Drosophila melanogaster: one gene and its partners. The protein of the gene in region 1 interacts with the protein of each later gene in a pairwise test. Each region holds a gene or a part of one and is shown in the gene's direction. Other genes may lie near its edges.

Region 1 (4,876 bases):
GCCACGGGGCCACGAACCTGGGACCAGGACAAGGACCAGAGAACCGGGCGTCTATCAAATTCCAATTTCGGTCCCTTTTTTATCCTCCGCTCCGTTGGCATTCAAGGTTTATGGCGTCTTTTTAGCGTAAATCCTGCATGGCCATGACTGAAGTCCGGTCCCGCTGTTGCACCATTCAGCGACCGTTGCTGGACCGTGACCTCCCAGCTCCCGAGTCTACATAATTCCATCCTATCAGTGGAGCTACATCTTCAATATCCTATCTTCGTCACCCATACTTGGGCACATTCCTACCGAACACCAAAGGACCTAGAGGTACACTTTTATTTTGTTCATGCCGCAATAACATGTCGTTCATTTTAACGGCTATTTGGAACTTCACTTGATAGAAAGTTTTGATTTTCGCAGTATTTTGCTGCTGATTACACTAGGAAACAGTAATATATAATATTGATATTTTTTCTATGTTTTATGTTTTCATCTTTCCTTTTAGCTATAAAATAATATGTGTAATCAGTAAGGCCATTCACGGAAGTGAACTGTTTGGAATCAAAAAAACCAAACTAGTTGAATCATTGCTCACCGCTATCAATAGCTTGGGATTACACTTGCAATAAAGAAATTCAAAGCTCTGTAACTAAAATTTTATTGGCGGTGATGAGCAATTTGCATTCCCGGGTATACCCAACATGTTTTATTGTGAATTTTTAGATTATGAATACTCATTAAATGTCAATTTAAGGCGCACTCTCAAGCTTAAAAACCCGCAGTACTGAACTATTCCTAATGGCTGAGTAGAAACATATAGTTGGATGATGAGTTTTTAAGGCTGAGAGCGGAGTGACTTGTTTTTCAAGTGAAAAGCACAATTTAGACTGCAAAAACCGGTCTTTTCCGCTGGCAAATGGCAGACAACAATTCTCAGTTCTCATACGTGATAAGCTTACATTATTTATGAATAATTTTTTTATTTTAATACGAGCGAAGTTTTGAGTTTTGTAAATTTATTAATATGTATCCGCATTTAAAGGGAAAAAAGCTTAAAGTTCCTTTCAAGATGGCTTCATTCTCTGCGTAAACAGCTGTATACGTGACTCTAAGAATAAATCTAAATATATACTATATATATATATATACATACAGCGCGATTAGTATCGATCGTCAATTGTGCGCTATGCGGAATCAAGTTCAGTTTCAACTAGGTACTCGAAGCGGTCGCATGTTCCGGTTTAAAACAAAGAATGAATTTCGAAAGTCATCTGATTGTTTGCATTAGTTTGCTTCTTCAATTACGGGTAACTAACTTAATATCCCAAACATACAAAAAATATTACTATTTTTCCCATTTGCAGATGGGAGCAACTATGCCTATGGAACGGCCACTCCCCCCCTCTGTGTATGCACAGGCTAGGCATTGGAACGTGCTTGAAACAGTCGTAAATAATATGCGGATCACTAAAAGGCCGTGGATAGTTACAAAAACTAAACCGTGCGGTGAGGTGATTAGGGAAACCTACATGTTGAGCCCCAACGAAGAGGAACTCATAAGGAGAACGGAAGTCATGCTCTTGCAAGCTCAAGGAAAATTGGAATGTTTACTTAGCCAGTTTCAACCGACATTACGACTTGGCAGTGTCTACAATAATCCCTTTCTAAACCCGGTCGGTTTTGGTTTTCCTGACTATAACGTCTTCCAAAATTTTCCGTTTATCCCGGAATTTAAGCCGCAACGTATTCCTCCCGAAGAAGATCGCAGTAATGAAAATAATCCTCGCCGAGAAGATCCGCGGGTAAATGAGCAGGATGCGTGGAATTTACGCCCTCAAGACGTCCCCAAAGAAAATGAACACATTCCCAATAGTGAATCGGATAGTGATAGATGGCTGCCAAATCCAACATCCACACACCGGCCTATCGTAACTTTGCCTACCCTGGCACCCCCAAACTTGAAGGATACGGAGCCCATATGGGTTCCAGTCCCAGAACCAACATCAACCGAGCGAAGTTCGGTCCCGCTGCCCACGCTCGCACCCAAAGGCGACGGAACTGACTCGACAATCGATGACTTTTTGGCAAAGGTGGATCTCACTGTCGCGGACATCAAAGAGGAGGATGGCCAGGTGGTCACCACAATCGTGGACAAACAAGGACGCGTTCTAAGTGCCAGTTTTGCACTGAGCAATGAGAACGAACAAGGGGGTGCGGCAAACTATCAAAGTCGCACTGGAAAATGATATACATAAATAAAGAGATATGTGAACAAGAAAAGCTCAATTTAAATTAACAGAAAAGTTTAGTATAAATAATATAAATAAATCTATGTTTACCGCATTGAACCTTCTTGTAGTGGCAATATAAGTATTGAAAACTTATATAGTAGTTTCTTGTTCATTACAGTATGATTCAACTTCTAAACGCAATTTAACAAAGTGAATTTCCAGGATCCAGAAGCAATTTGTTATAAGAAACTTATGAAGAAACTACAATATGTTTTTATGAAAGCTTTGGGAAACGCATTCTGTTAACACTCTTTGATAATGGCGACTTTGCGAAAACTGTTGATAACCTTTGAGTAGACACTGCGAATAGAAGCGACGAGGTCAGTCGATTAGAATTCTAAAATCAGTTCGATTCTGTCGATCGAAGTATTCACAAGTGTCGCGGAAAGATCGAATATGCAGTACTCCTATCTACTGGCAATCTGTGTCAGCTTGCTGCTTCTGAAGCTGAAGGTAGGTCATGGAAATCTCCAGAAATCTGAAACTGACGTCATCTTTCGCTCACAGGGAGCAGCTGCCACTTCTTTATCCGCCGAACCGACTCCGGAACTTTTGAATGCGGCCAAGCAAATAGGTTTAGATGAAGTTGGCTTGCGAGAAATGTGGCACAGCCAGCAGCCGCTGGTTATCAGAACTCAAAACGATGCTGGTCAAGTCACCACTTTGACCTATGAGTTAGGTCCGGATTTCAGATCGATTTTAAGACGCAAGGTCTCAGAGGGAATACTGCCTGCTAGGCTAGAGGATAATTCAGGCTCTAAGCCCCAGCAAGATTGGGAGTATGTGCCGAGTGCCGGTCGTCAGTTCCGTCCCATTGGAGATTCCAACTTCGGTACAGGTAATTTCGAGACAAAGATATTTAGCACTGAATTTCCGAGATTTCCGAATTGGGAGCTGCCAGCGGGAGTTACTCCGAAAGTTACAACCAAGACGGAAACGGATAGCTCGGGACGCAAGGTGACCACCACAACTAGAACTTATAGCGGCATTCTGGTCCCAGGCAGTAATGTATTCAAGCAGATATTCCCCGACATCTCCAGAGAGCCTGGTCCAATTAACACAGACTCAAACCATCCAGCCGAGAATCCTAACACCTCAGTCTTTTCCCCATCTCGTTCCCCATCTACTGGACCTATTGATTTCAACTATGTATATAATTCCCGACCAAGCCAAAGGGAACCCGTCTTTGTGCCAGTGATTGACTCAACCACCACGCAGCGGACTTCAGTTCCCCGGTTCAGTTCAGCATTACCAAGAGACGACGGATCAGATCGAGTCATAGATGATTATTTGAAACAAGTGAATCTGAGTGCCTCAGAAATTGAGAATTCGAATGGTGAAGTGGTCAAGACTATTGTGGATAAGAATGGCAGAATTCTAACTGCCAGATTTGTTCTAAGCTCAGTCAAAGGAACCAACGAAGGATCTCAGCAGCAGAGGCCGACCAAGTAAATAGCTCATTATAAATATTAATATATGGAAATCATCGCAATATTTTGTAAACAATGCTTAGCGCAGTTTAATAAATAAGCTTATCAGCCTGGGCTAAACCCAGAAATTGTAATAAAATTTCTAAATCAATCTATCACTGAAATATAACCTTTATATATGTAGGTGGGAATTTGATAAGGGTGTCTGATTTGATACATAACTTTCAGTTTAATCGAAATGGAATGGAAAATATTGTACAAACTTACCTGCTTATATATATATATATATATATTGGCAAATTTAAATATACATATGTTAGCAACTACAAAGCGCTCTAAATTATTCAAAAACTACTCGCATACATGTGTACATTTTGGGAAATTAATAATTCTTTATTTTCAGATCGTTGGCCAAATTAATTAAAAAGCATTAATAGTTTTGTATAGCTAATTTATTACAAACATTTTTTTTGTTTTCGCTAACAACTGAGCTGTAAAAAATAAAAGAAAGGAAAAATATAATTGGGATAATAAAAAAATCAACGAAATAATATAAAATAATAACATTTGGAAACTAAGCATGATAAACAAAACATTTCAGCAAGGGAAAAAAATACTTGCAGTCAAAAATAATTCAAGCATTAGGAGATCAAAATTATAAATATATAAAAAACGCAGCGCGGAACGAGAAATTCAATTGGAATTTCACGGCAAACTGATTAAAGCACGTCGAAAAAAACTATTGCATAATTTTGTGCGCAGCTCAGTGCAAAACGCATTTGGTGGCCGAAAGCAATGTGTTGGTCATGGGTGATTCGGTTGCAGTTCTTTGTAGTTGTGTGGCTGACAGCCTGGTGGTAGTTGTTCGGCTGACAAAAGTGCATTTCTGTCATTGTCTTTCTCGCTCGTTAGCATTGCATTAGTTGGGTTACATTTATAAGCCAAGCATGTCAGAGAAAAAAGAAACTAGATTAGTAAAAAAATGTTGTTTTATCGAGTGGAAATGGTGTGGAAATCGTGGTAAAAGCATTTTTTCTTAAGTCTAAATATGCGGGTTAAAGCCAAAAAAGCAAATAATAGTTGCGCATTGGCCTTTAGGCGTAAAACATATGTAAAATTCAACTACGCATAAAATATGTTACAAAAAGCATTAATATTTGAACAATT
Region 2 (4,405 bases), on another chromosome or scaffold:
AATGGTACAAATTGCGTTGAAAATTCAGCTTGGTTGTGATGGTGGAGCAAACCTAAACTACGAGAAATTTCGGCAAACGAATTCGATGGGAAAGCGAATGTGTGATGGGAATGGAAAGCAGGTGCGGACATTTACAAAAATACATATATGGTATTCGGCCACTGTTTAGAAGTCGTACGAGTCGGTCTCATCATCGCCCTTGCGTACCTTGAAGATTAATCTGTAGATGATTCCGGCCAACAGGCCGCCGGCAATGGGACCCACCCAGTAAACCCAGTGATAGGTCCAGACGCCCTGCACTACGGCGGGACCAAAGGACCGGGCGGGATTCATGCTGGCACCGCTCAGTTTGATCTGTAAATGGTACACTTATTAACCTCCAGTCGGAGAACTCCATCACCTCGTACTCACTGCACACAAATGGCCAGCGGCGATGGCCAAACCAACAGCCAGTGGCGCTGATCCCTTGATATCCTGGCGTCCAGGATCCGAAACAGCCTTGACCACGAAAACCAAAATAAAGGTGATCAGCGCTTCGATCAGCACCGCCTGTGCACAGTTCAGGGAGGGATCAAAGGAGGATACTCCCAGGTCGCCACCAGCCACTCCATCGAGTGCCACCTTTATCACAGCCGCTCCAGCAATGGCGCCCACGCATTGGACGATGATGTAGAAGGCAGCCTTCAGAATGCTGATCTCACCAACGATCAGGAATCCAAGGGTGACCGCCGGATTAATGTGACAGCCACTGAGGTGGCCCAAGCCCTGAGAGAGAGAACAAAATAAGAGGATATTCAAGAATATATTTATTATAAGGCTCAATAAAAGAGGAAAAAAAGTATGAAGATCAAATCAAGGAGGCTAAGGCCCAGTCGAACATAATGTAGATAATGGCCTATCTCCACCTCCATCGGCGCTTGCAAATGTCGAGTTGACAACGCAACATCTTAACCATAGCTGCGCTCAAAGTTTGCCCTTTGCCATGAAGCTGATTGTGCGATTTTCCGAATTTTCCATTGCACAATATCGTTGCATATCGAACTGCCAGCGGATACAAGCAATTTGTCAGACGTGAGATGCACTCGAGTGCATTTATTGTGTTTAGCGTGTCTGCAAAGTTCAGGTGGAGCTGGCTGGGAAGTAAAAGTGATTCGGGGTTCTGTTGAGTCATTGCCCGTGAAGAGATCACATGGAATCACTTAAATGGAAATCGCATTGGATCGGATCGCCTCGCATCGCATCGCATCGTATTGGATTGGATTGGATTGGATCAAGTGTTATGAATGGAGCCCGAAATGCACTGTTCACTCTGCGCCCAAGGTCGATGTGCAGGCTTCTATGTTTGATATCTCTTTCCAGCCGTGTTTCTCTACGTTTTGGTGATACGAATTCGATTTCGATATGGATTTCGCGGTTCGCAGTTCGCATTGGACGCACGGCCAATGTCGTGCGTCGCTGTGCGTTTAATTAATAAATGCGCAAAAAAGAAAAAAACAAAAAAAAATGCCCGTGTGTTGGCTGTTCGGCCACAAAACGCTAATTACAAATGCCGCCAAGAGCAAGTTCGAGTCGCGTTTTGCGGCCCAAACGGCAATAGGCCACAAATCCGAGCAGCCACTACAACTCGAACAACTTCTTGACATTTTGGTTATGCGCATGCGTGCAGCGCAATTTCGACTTCGTCTATACTAAGACTAAGTTGCCGCCTTTGCTGCCGCCACTCAGCCTGACCTAATCGTTTGGATCTAAAGCTTTTAGCCACAATAGTTTAGGCCTATTGTTCTCGACTCAATGCCTCCACTCGTCTTAGCTGCACACACTCGAAGAGTCGTGAAATTAATCAAATTTATTGTCGAGCCCGAAACCCATAATTAAATTTAATATATGCAACGAAAGCAATCGAGATCGACAGACCGGCTGCGTGTGAAAACCGCGAATGACGGACTGACTGAACTTAGACGTGAGTCATCGATGAAATATGGCTCTAATCGAGTTAGGCCTATGTGATTACGCTACGAGTTTATTACGCATTTCGAATGGGTTAATTACACTATGTGACTTTTTAGTTCTAAGCCGATCTAATTAAAAAATGTTAAATATATTTTTAATTTTTATGAATTATGAATTGCATTATGTTTTTCTGTGTATGCAGATAACTATACCCACATGCTGTGCAGAGCGATAAGTCGTACATAGTACCTATCTCTTATCATCATGCAGCGTCAGATTTTCTGTTTCTTTCTTTATTGGATTTCTTTCTAATATACTTGGTTTCGAAGCATTTAAGTCAGTCTGTTTTTGGCACTCGGATTTAAAAGATCTCAGAATCGCAGCAATGCAAAAATCTATTATATTTTTGGTACTCCCGTTGTGTCTGAGTTCAAGTTATTCAGCAGCCTGCGAGGTGAGTGAAGTAGAGAAGTGGTTTAGAAATGCTAAATATTTACATTCACATATCTTCTTAGGGCGTTGAAAGCGATTCCCAATGTGCTGCATATTGCTACGGTGTCTTGAATCCCTGCATCGCGAGCATGGGCAATTTGCAACGAAGGGTTGAAGCCTGTGAAGCAGCTGTTGCAATAGCGAGAATAGCCCTAAATGACCGAAGACTGGACAATTTTGGCACTTCAACGAACTTGCAGCTGGAAAATCAAAATACTTCGCAACAACTGCTGACACACGGTACAGCAATGGGCAGAAAACTGGAAGAAAACGAAATTTTCCAACAACTGGGAAGCAAATACTACTACATCGAAAAGGAAGAGAAGCTAAACTGGCACGATGCTTTGGATAAATGCCACAAAATGGGTGGCCATCTGGCCAGTCTGCAAAGTCAGGAGGAATTGGATAGATTCAATAACCAACTTAATGGCCTGAATCGCTACTGGATCGACGTGACCAATCAGTTCAACGAAAGTGAATTCGTTTCTGTGACCAAAGGATCGAAGGCCAATTTTTTGAGTTGGGCCGATGGGGAACCCACAAAAGATGGAGAGTGTGTGGATATCCGAACATTCAATGGGAAAACTACCATGAACGATAACTCATGTTTTGCCAATCTCTATTTTATTTGCGAAAAATCTATTGAAATATAATACAAAAATATTTATCTCTTTGAAGTTAATATTAGTTTTTGATATCTGACATTTACCACATGGTTTATGGAGGAAATAAGTATAATGTTTATTTCAAAACGAACAAGTTGGAATAAGACTTTATTTACGAATATACATATAATCCTATATGAATTGACCACTATTTCATTATTTTGTGTCAGCACTCTCCGTGCTCTCAAGGTTTTCCATTGGCTACAAAAAGTCTGGCAAGACTCTTCCCCCGATCGAGATATATAAGTTAAGAACCCTCTTCTTGCGCTCTTCGTCAGGACTCACCAGCGCTCGGCTCTCGTGTTTTCGGGCCCCGTCAGCAGGCGACTCGGGGCCTGTCTAGTAACATGTTCGTGTAAGTTACGAACCCTCTTCTTGCGATCTTCGTCAGGACTCACCAGCGCTCGGCTCTCGTGTTTTCGGGCCCCGTCAGCAGGCGACTCGGGGCCTGTCTAGGAACATGTTTGTGTATGTGTGCATTCGGAACAAGTGCCGTTGGTCGCACTCAGGGTGAGGGGTCAACGGGGGAAGCGGATATAAAAGCAGCGGGGCGGGAGAAGAGGCCCCAGTGTCGAACGGACACATAACGGAACCGCTAGCAGATCGCGAACTGAATCTTAAAATAAAGCTAATCGTAAACTCGAACCCTCTTAACTATCTTGACTATTATTTGGAGAACCACAGCATGTTGGTTGTCATATCGAGGTGAGGTATGCGGCAGCGAGTGCCGAGAACCCTGATGCAAGTGGAACTTGCGTTAACTGGCGCCCGAGCAGGGACCGGCAATGTCCGGCCGATAAAAGTGATACGAAAAAATTGTGGAAATTTGTGCGTAAAAATAGTGGTGGTGTGCATAAGTCAGATTAAGATCTGAAATCCATAAATGAAAAAGAAGTGCTGCGTGAGCTGTGTATAAAATGATAAAATAGCAATTACCCGCTGCCGGGGGGAACTACGCCCATCCCGGGGCGCAACAAATATTGCATAATTCAATAAAAGGTGTAAAATTTCTAAAATAAAAATGTAAACCTATGTTGCGCCAAGACCTAATTTAAATTAATAAAACAACGACCCGCTACCGGAGGACGCCACGTCGCCCATGCCGAGCGCAAAAGTTGTACGATACCTATAACATAATTAAAACACGATCAACCCACTGCGGCGGTACGGCTTGTGGGAAAATTTTTTTTTTCTCTCCTTGCCAATTCGCGAGTGCAAAAGATTGTGTATAATAAACCAATAATTAACCATTGCAGCAGTTTACCTGCGGCAGTACGAGTAATATGAGCGCCCAGAGT
Region 3 (5,560 bases), on another chromosome or scaffold:
AGGATTTTAAGCGTAAATTAACCGAATCGAGTTGGTCCAGTGTGCCGGTGCGAAATGGCCGCCATAGTACTAACCCGTAATCTCCAGCTGGCCAGTGAGTACCGTGCCTGCGGTCGAAAACCGCCAGGCAATCCAATTATGTAATACGATGTTTGTGGCTAACTTTTGGCTCATTCTCTGTCCAATTCCGGATACTTAGAGCACCACGGCAGTGGCGTGGTTGGAGTTTTGTGCCTGCGTGGATATTCCGCCGCTGCTGCGCCGCCGGAAGATGGTCCACGTCCACTGAAGACCACCAATCCGGCTGCCATGAAGCGCGGAACTGGCGGACGTAGCAGTTTCAATGGGATCGTGGCGACCGTTTTCGGTGCCACCGGTTTCGTGGGCCGCTATGTCTGCAACAAACTGGGCAAATCTGGCACCCAGATGATCCTGCCCTATCGCGGTGACGATTCGGATGTTATCCGTCTTAAGGTCACCGGTGATCTTGGCCAGGTACTCTTTCACTTCTACAACCTGGAGGATCCCGCCTCCATTCGTGACGCAGTCAAGCACTCGAACGTGGTCATCAACCTGGTGGGCAGGGACTTCGAGACCAAGAACTTCAAGTTCAAGGATGTCCATGTCAACGGAGCGGAGAGGATCGCTAGGTGAACATCATAGCCAGCATTATTTGCCTGCCCACTTCTTCATTCTAACTTTGCATGACGTAAACCACTTTTATTTCTTCAGGATTGCGCGCGAGGCTGGCGTGGAGCGCTTAATCCACCTGTCCTCTTTGAACGTGGAGGCCAATCCCAAGGATCTGTACGTCAAGGGCGGCAGCGAGTGGCTGAAAAGCAAGTACGAGGGTGAGCTTCGCGTACGCGACGCCTTTCCCAACGCCACGATCATCCGCCCTGCGGATATCTACGGATCCGAGGATCGCTTCTTGCGCTACTACGCCCACATCTGGCGCCGTCAGTTCCGCTCGATGCCGCTGTGGCACAAGGGAGAGAAGACCGTCAAGCAGCCCGTCTACGTTTCGGACGTGGCCCAGGCCATCATCAACGCCGCCAAGGATCCGGACAGCGCTGGCCGCATCTACCAGGCTGTGGGGTAAGTCAATCTCCGAGTCCAAGTATTTGTACCATGTACATTTTCTTAATTTCCTTTATTCTCTGCAGACCTAAACGCTATCAGTTGAGCGAGCTGGTCGACTGGTTCCACCGCCTGATGCGCAAGGACCAGAAGCGCTGGGGCTACATGCGCTACGACATGCGCTGGGACCCCACCTTCCTGCTGAAAGCCAAGCTGAACAGCTTCATCTGCCCCGGCACCCCGATTGGCGGTCTGCATCCCGCTCGCATCGAACGCGAGGCTGTCACCGACAAGGTTCTGACTGGTGTCCCCACGCTTGAGGATTTGGGCGTCACGCTGACCACAATGGAGCAGCAGGTGCCATGGGAGCTGCGTCCCTACCGCGCCGCCCTCTACTACGACGCCGAGCTGGGCGAGTTCGAGACTCCCTCGCCGCCCAAGTGCATCGAGGCGCGCGATGAACTGCGTCTGTTTGCCTAAGCGGAGCGAAGTAGCTGTCTGTGTTGATTGGAAATTTTTAGTTGGAATTGTTTAAGGCGATGCGTCAATAAAGAGAAGTCGAAAGACCCAATGACAACGAAGGAAACTTATATTTCCAAATATTATATAGACATTGATATATGTATTTATTTCGTGCATTTAAATATAAAAAAATTTATAAATACTTTTGAAAAAAAAGTCAAATGGCTAGAAAAGTTTGATGTCGGAAAAAAGATTGGCAGCTCGAAATACCTTTGGTATTTTTCGGTATCTTATTGAGGTGACATCGCTCCGGCAACTAAATCAAAACAAATGAAATCGCTGTCATCGTCTGGCAACGCTTCGCCCGTCCGATTTTTCTTCCTTTGCGACCAGGAGCTTTTCTGCAGCAGTTTCCTCCGAAACTTACGCCCGTGCAGATTTATGGCCGGAAAATCATAGTACGGAAAATTCGATTTCCCAAGTTTTCTGAGTCTGTGTGTGTGTGTGTTTTTGGTGTGTGTAAAGATTTTCAACTTTTCAGCTTGGTTAAGCGGTGAAAAAAGAATATATCAACAACAACACAAGCGCGCGCCCGCCTCTCTTTTCGCGTTTTTGTGCGTGTGAGTGAGAGTGAGTGTGATAATTATGGCATAAGTGGCATACAAATTATGATAGCAGAATTCCCACGGCCGACGACGAATGTGAATTGGGAAAATCGAAAAAGCAGGCAAAGCCAGGAGGCGGATAAATCGCCGAGCGAGTGCAGCAAATCGATCAGCTGTGACGTCGACGGGGGCAGAAAGTTTGGCCAAAAGAAAAGGTCAAACAAGCAGCAGCAGCAACAACAACAACAACTGCACGCGGAACGGAAAGAGGAGGAGCTCTGTCACAAGCAAGGGGTAAAGGATAAGAGTAGTAAGAAGAAGGAGAATCTAGCAGGCGAGGAGGATAAGAAGAAAAAGCAAGAGGAAAGGGAACATAGCAAGAAGAAGCAGCAGCTTCAGCAGAAGCAAAGGGCAAATAACAAGAAGAAGAAGCGGCATCAGCCTCCCCGTGTACAGAGGAAAAAAAACCTCGTCTTATTTTTAGATTATTTACGCCAGTTTGGTGCCGTCGAAAGCGAAATTGTCGCTGTTGAATCAGCCGGCTGCTGTGACGTCAGAGAAGCAGGCTGCCATCACGCCAACGGTAAATACGCCGCCCATAACGGCACTTGGAGCCATTTCGAGCATAAAACCGAAATTTATGCTCTATATCGTCACCTGGAGATCGGTGGCCCGCTCGAACAAGTGCAACAGCAACAGCAGCTGAGGGTCTGTCCAATCAAGACCCGGCTGCGCTTCGAGATGCTCTTTGCCGAGCCACCGCCCACCCAGGGCCACGCCCCCACCGCCCACGGTCACGATCATACGGCCGATGATATGCCAGATGCGCCACCTGGCGGCGAGCCGGTGATCCCAATGCTGCAGGATCAGCAAAACAGCGAACTTATGGCCGGTGAGTCTAATCTAAAGATATTAAGTTAAAAAAACAACAAGCGGGCTTTATTTCCACAATAATTTACAAATTATTACTTTAATAAATAACGCAATTTAAGCAACAAAGTTTTAAAAGCCTATCACTATGCATGCTAAAAAAAATATATTGCAAACCTAAAGGGATATGACTCATTAGATAAAATGAGTCAATAATAAAAAGCTATCCCTCGAACGATATGTATGAAATATATCCAAACATTTTTATAATTTATAATTTAATACAGACAAATAGTGCGAGATTTGTATTTATATATTTATACCCTTTTCTTGTAGACTAAAAGAGTATTATCGGCTAGATAAAAAGTACGAAACGGGCGGGGAGGTAAGCATTTCCTGCACTCGGAAAAATTGAGAACAAAAAAATAGAGGTCGGTTGCGCTCAGCGTACTCAGTGAATAAATAAACCTTCTTGGTTTCGAGACGAAAATGATCTCAACGTTTATATTTTTTATTTTTCGGAAGAAGTATTGGGTGTAAGATTGTCGAAGAGTCTGAAAAAAGAGAGGAAGACAAATGAAAGCAAAATCATTTGCAATCTGAGAATGGTTTGATCTCGATTTGAGTATGCTGAGAATGATTAGATCTTGGCTAGATTTTAAAATCGAACTTCTCAAAACGAGAACATTTTGGTCACGTCCACTGGTATCGGCAACAAACTGCAAAAAGCTTTCATGTCCACAATTTTGAATTAATTTCTTCACAAATTTGTTTTTGTTTTTCCATTGCTAGCCATGTAATGGGTATGTGATAGTCGAAGAACTCGACTAAAGCGTGCTTTTTCGGTTTGGTATACATATGTATACTTACAATATTCTCATATCCGCACTTCTAAGTTGTGATTGTGATTTGCAAAAATGTCACTATTTATTCACAGTCATATAGAAAGTTTAGGCATGCATACTCAACCCATATTTTAAGACACGAAAATATGTTAAATAATTTTTAATGGCTTACCTTTAAAAAGTTCTAAAAGTAGATGGCTTTACTTGTTGGCTTGTAAATCGGAACCTTATGGTTCTATTCTCACTAACAAGAGAGGGAAATGTTTGTTATTATTAATAGCTTGGATGAATAATGTTAATATATTTGTGAAAATTTCAGCTATTTTGAAAACAAACTTTTAAATTCTCTTATTTGCGTTTTGCTTACGATCTCTTTGACACATCTCTTTGCTTTCTGCGAGGAGTTCTAGTTTAAACGATATATATTTTAAACGACAAAATAGTGTAGTATAGTTCGAGTATCATGTTTTTTACAGTGCAGCCATAACTATATTTTCTATAAAACTGAGGCGTATAAATTGGATTTAAACTGGAGTTGTCAGGCTATTCTGGCGTTGGCCAGTTCGCGGACAGAACACTAAAAAATGGCGCAGTTGAAGTTTCTTAGACCCCTGGTGAAAGTATTGGTTAATCGTTCTGGAATCGGAAAAGCAAGTGTTTGGCACGCGGTGATCGTTACGTTTATGCACTACTTCTCCTGGGGTCTTCTCACCGTTCCCTTCATCGAAAAATTGTCGGGATCGTTTGGGAATCGCGTCCTTCTCGTCGATGGACTGGTTTATGGAGTTAGAGGAATCCTGGGATTTGTGACCACGCCCGTGATGGGTGCCATTTCCGATTTTCATGGCCGGAAAGTAGTGATGCTACTGGCAGTGGCAACCACCTACGCTCCAATTCCATTCATGATGTTGAAGAGTTGGTGGTTTTTCGCCATTCTCACTGTGAGCTCCATCTGTGGCAGCACTTACTCCTCTTCATTGGCCTATGTGGCAGACACAACTACTGTGGAGAATCGTTCAAAAGGCTATGGCATTGTTGCGGCCAGTTTTGGCGCAGGAATAGCCTTTTCACCATCGTTGGGGAATTACTTGATGAAATCGTACGGGTCCGCATCAGTTATTTTGATTGCCGCCATCACAGGCTTGATTAATATAATGTTTATCATATTTGCGGTGCCAGAGAGTTTAGTTTTAAAAGAAAAAAATAATATGTTGGATGAAGAGAGTGATAACAAGATGGAGGACATTAACCCGAAGGAAAGGAAAGAGATCTTAAACAGAGAAGAAAAATTGAATAACCACGTTTCAGCGAACAAATCCAACCACGGCACATCACAAAATCTAGTCACAAATAAAGAGCTGGGCCAACAGTTCAACAAAGAGGAAAACCTTCAGAATGATTTAACTGAAAAGGAGAAAATTGATAATGGATCCCTAAACTCTTCCGATCTTTGGGAAGTGCTGCGTAAAAGTCGTAAGGATAAGAACCTGCTCGTGATATACCTCATAACATTCCTCTCGATTTGGCCCTTTGCAGGAGTGGATTCTACTGCGCCCGTTTATCTCAAAACTAATATGGGATTTGAGTACGAGGAGGTGTCCATGATGTTGGGATTACTATCTGTGCTGGCGATCACATCCAATCTCCTTCTCGGTTATATTATAAACATAGTGGGGGCCAAGTGGTCGATCCGACTGG

The links. Proteins that work in one complex are often made in the same cells at the same time.
Region 2: the proteins of CG15293 (region 1) and CG7763 interact in a two-hybrid assay, tested with the Drosophila melanogaster proteins (one large-scale study listed by BioGRID).
Region 3: the proteins of CG15293 (region 1) and CG32425 interact in a two-hybrid assay, tested with the Drosophila melanogaster proteins (one large-scale study listed by BioGRID).

Annotation. Positions count from the first base shown.
Region 1 is NT_033779.5:14,107,051-14,111,926, reverse strand, and holds CG15293 (uncharacterized protein), read left to right. Parts: upstream 1-2,479; 5' UTR 2,480-2,675; coding exon 2,676-2,732; intron 2,733-2,786; coding exon 2,787-3,731; 3' UTR 3,732-3,870; downstream 3,871-4,876. Other genes in the region: CG31769 (uncharacterized protein), read left to right, coding at 1,242-1,295, 1,353-2,234.
Region 2 is NT_033778.4:11,412,221-11,416,625, forward strand, and holds CG7763 (uncharacterized protein), read left to right. Parts: upstream 1-2,289; 5' UTR 2,290-2,335; coding exon 2,336-2,404; intron 2,405-2,465; coding exon 2,466-3,095; 3' UTR 3,096-3,242; downstream 3,243-4,405. Other genes in the region: drip, read right to left, coding at 208-354, 412-765.
Region 3 is NT_037436.4:20,495,426-20,500,985, forward strand, and holds the start of CG32425 (uncharacterized protein), read left to right. Parts: upstream 1-1,897; 5' UTR 1,898-2,000; exon of another isoform or gene 2,001-2,210; coding exon of another isoform or gene 2,211-3,039; intron 3,040-4,410; exon of another isoform or gene 4,411-4,446; coding exon of another isoform or gene 4,447-5,560. Other genes in the region: ND-39 (NADH dehydrogenase (ubiquinone) 39 kDa subunit), read left to right, coding at 55-94, 200-650, 733-1,098, 1,167-1,560; CG18281 (uncharacterized protein), read left to right, coding at 4,447-5,560.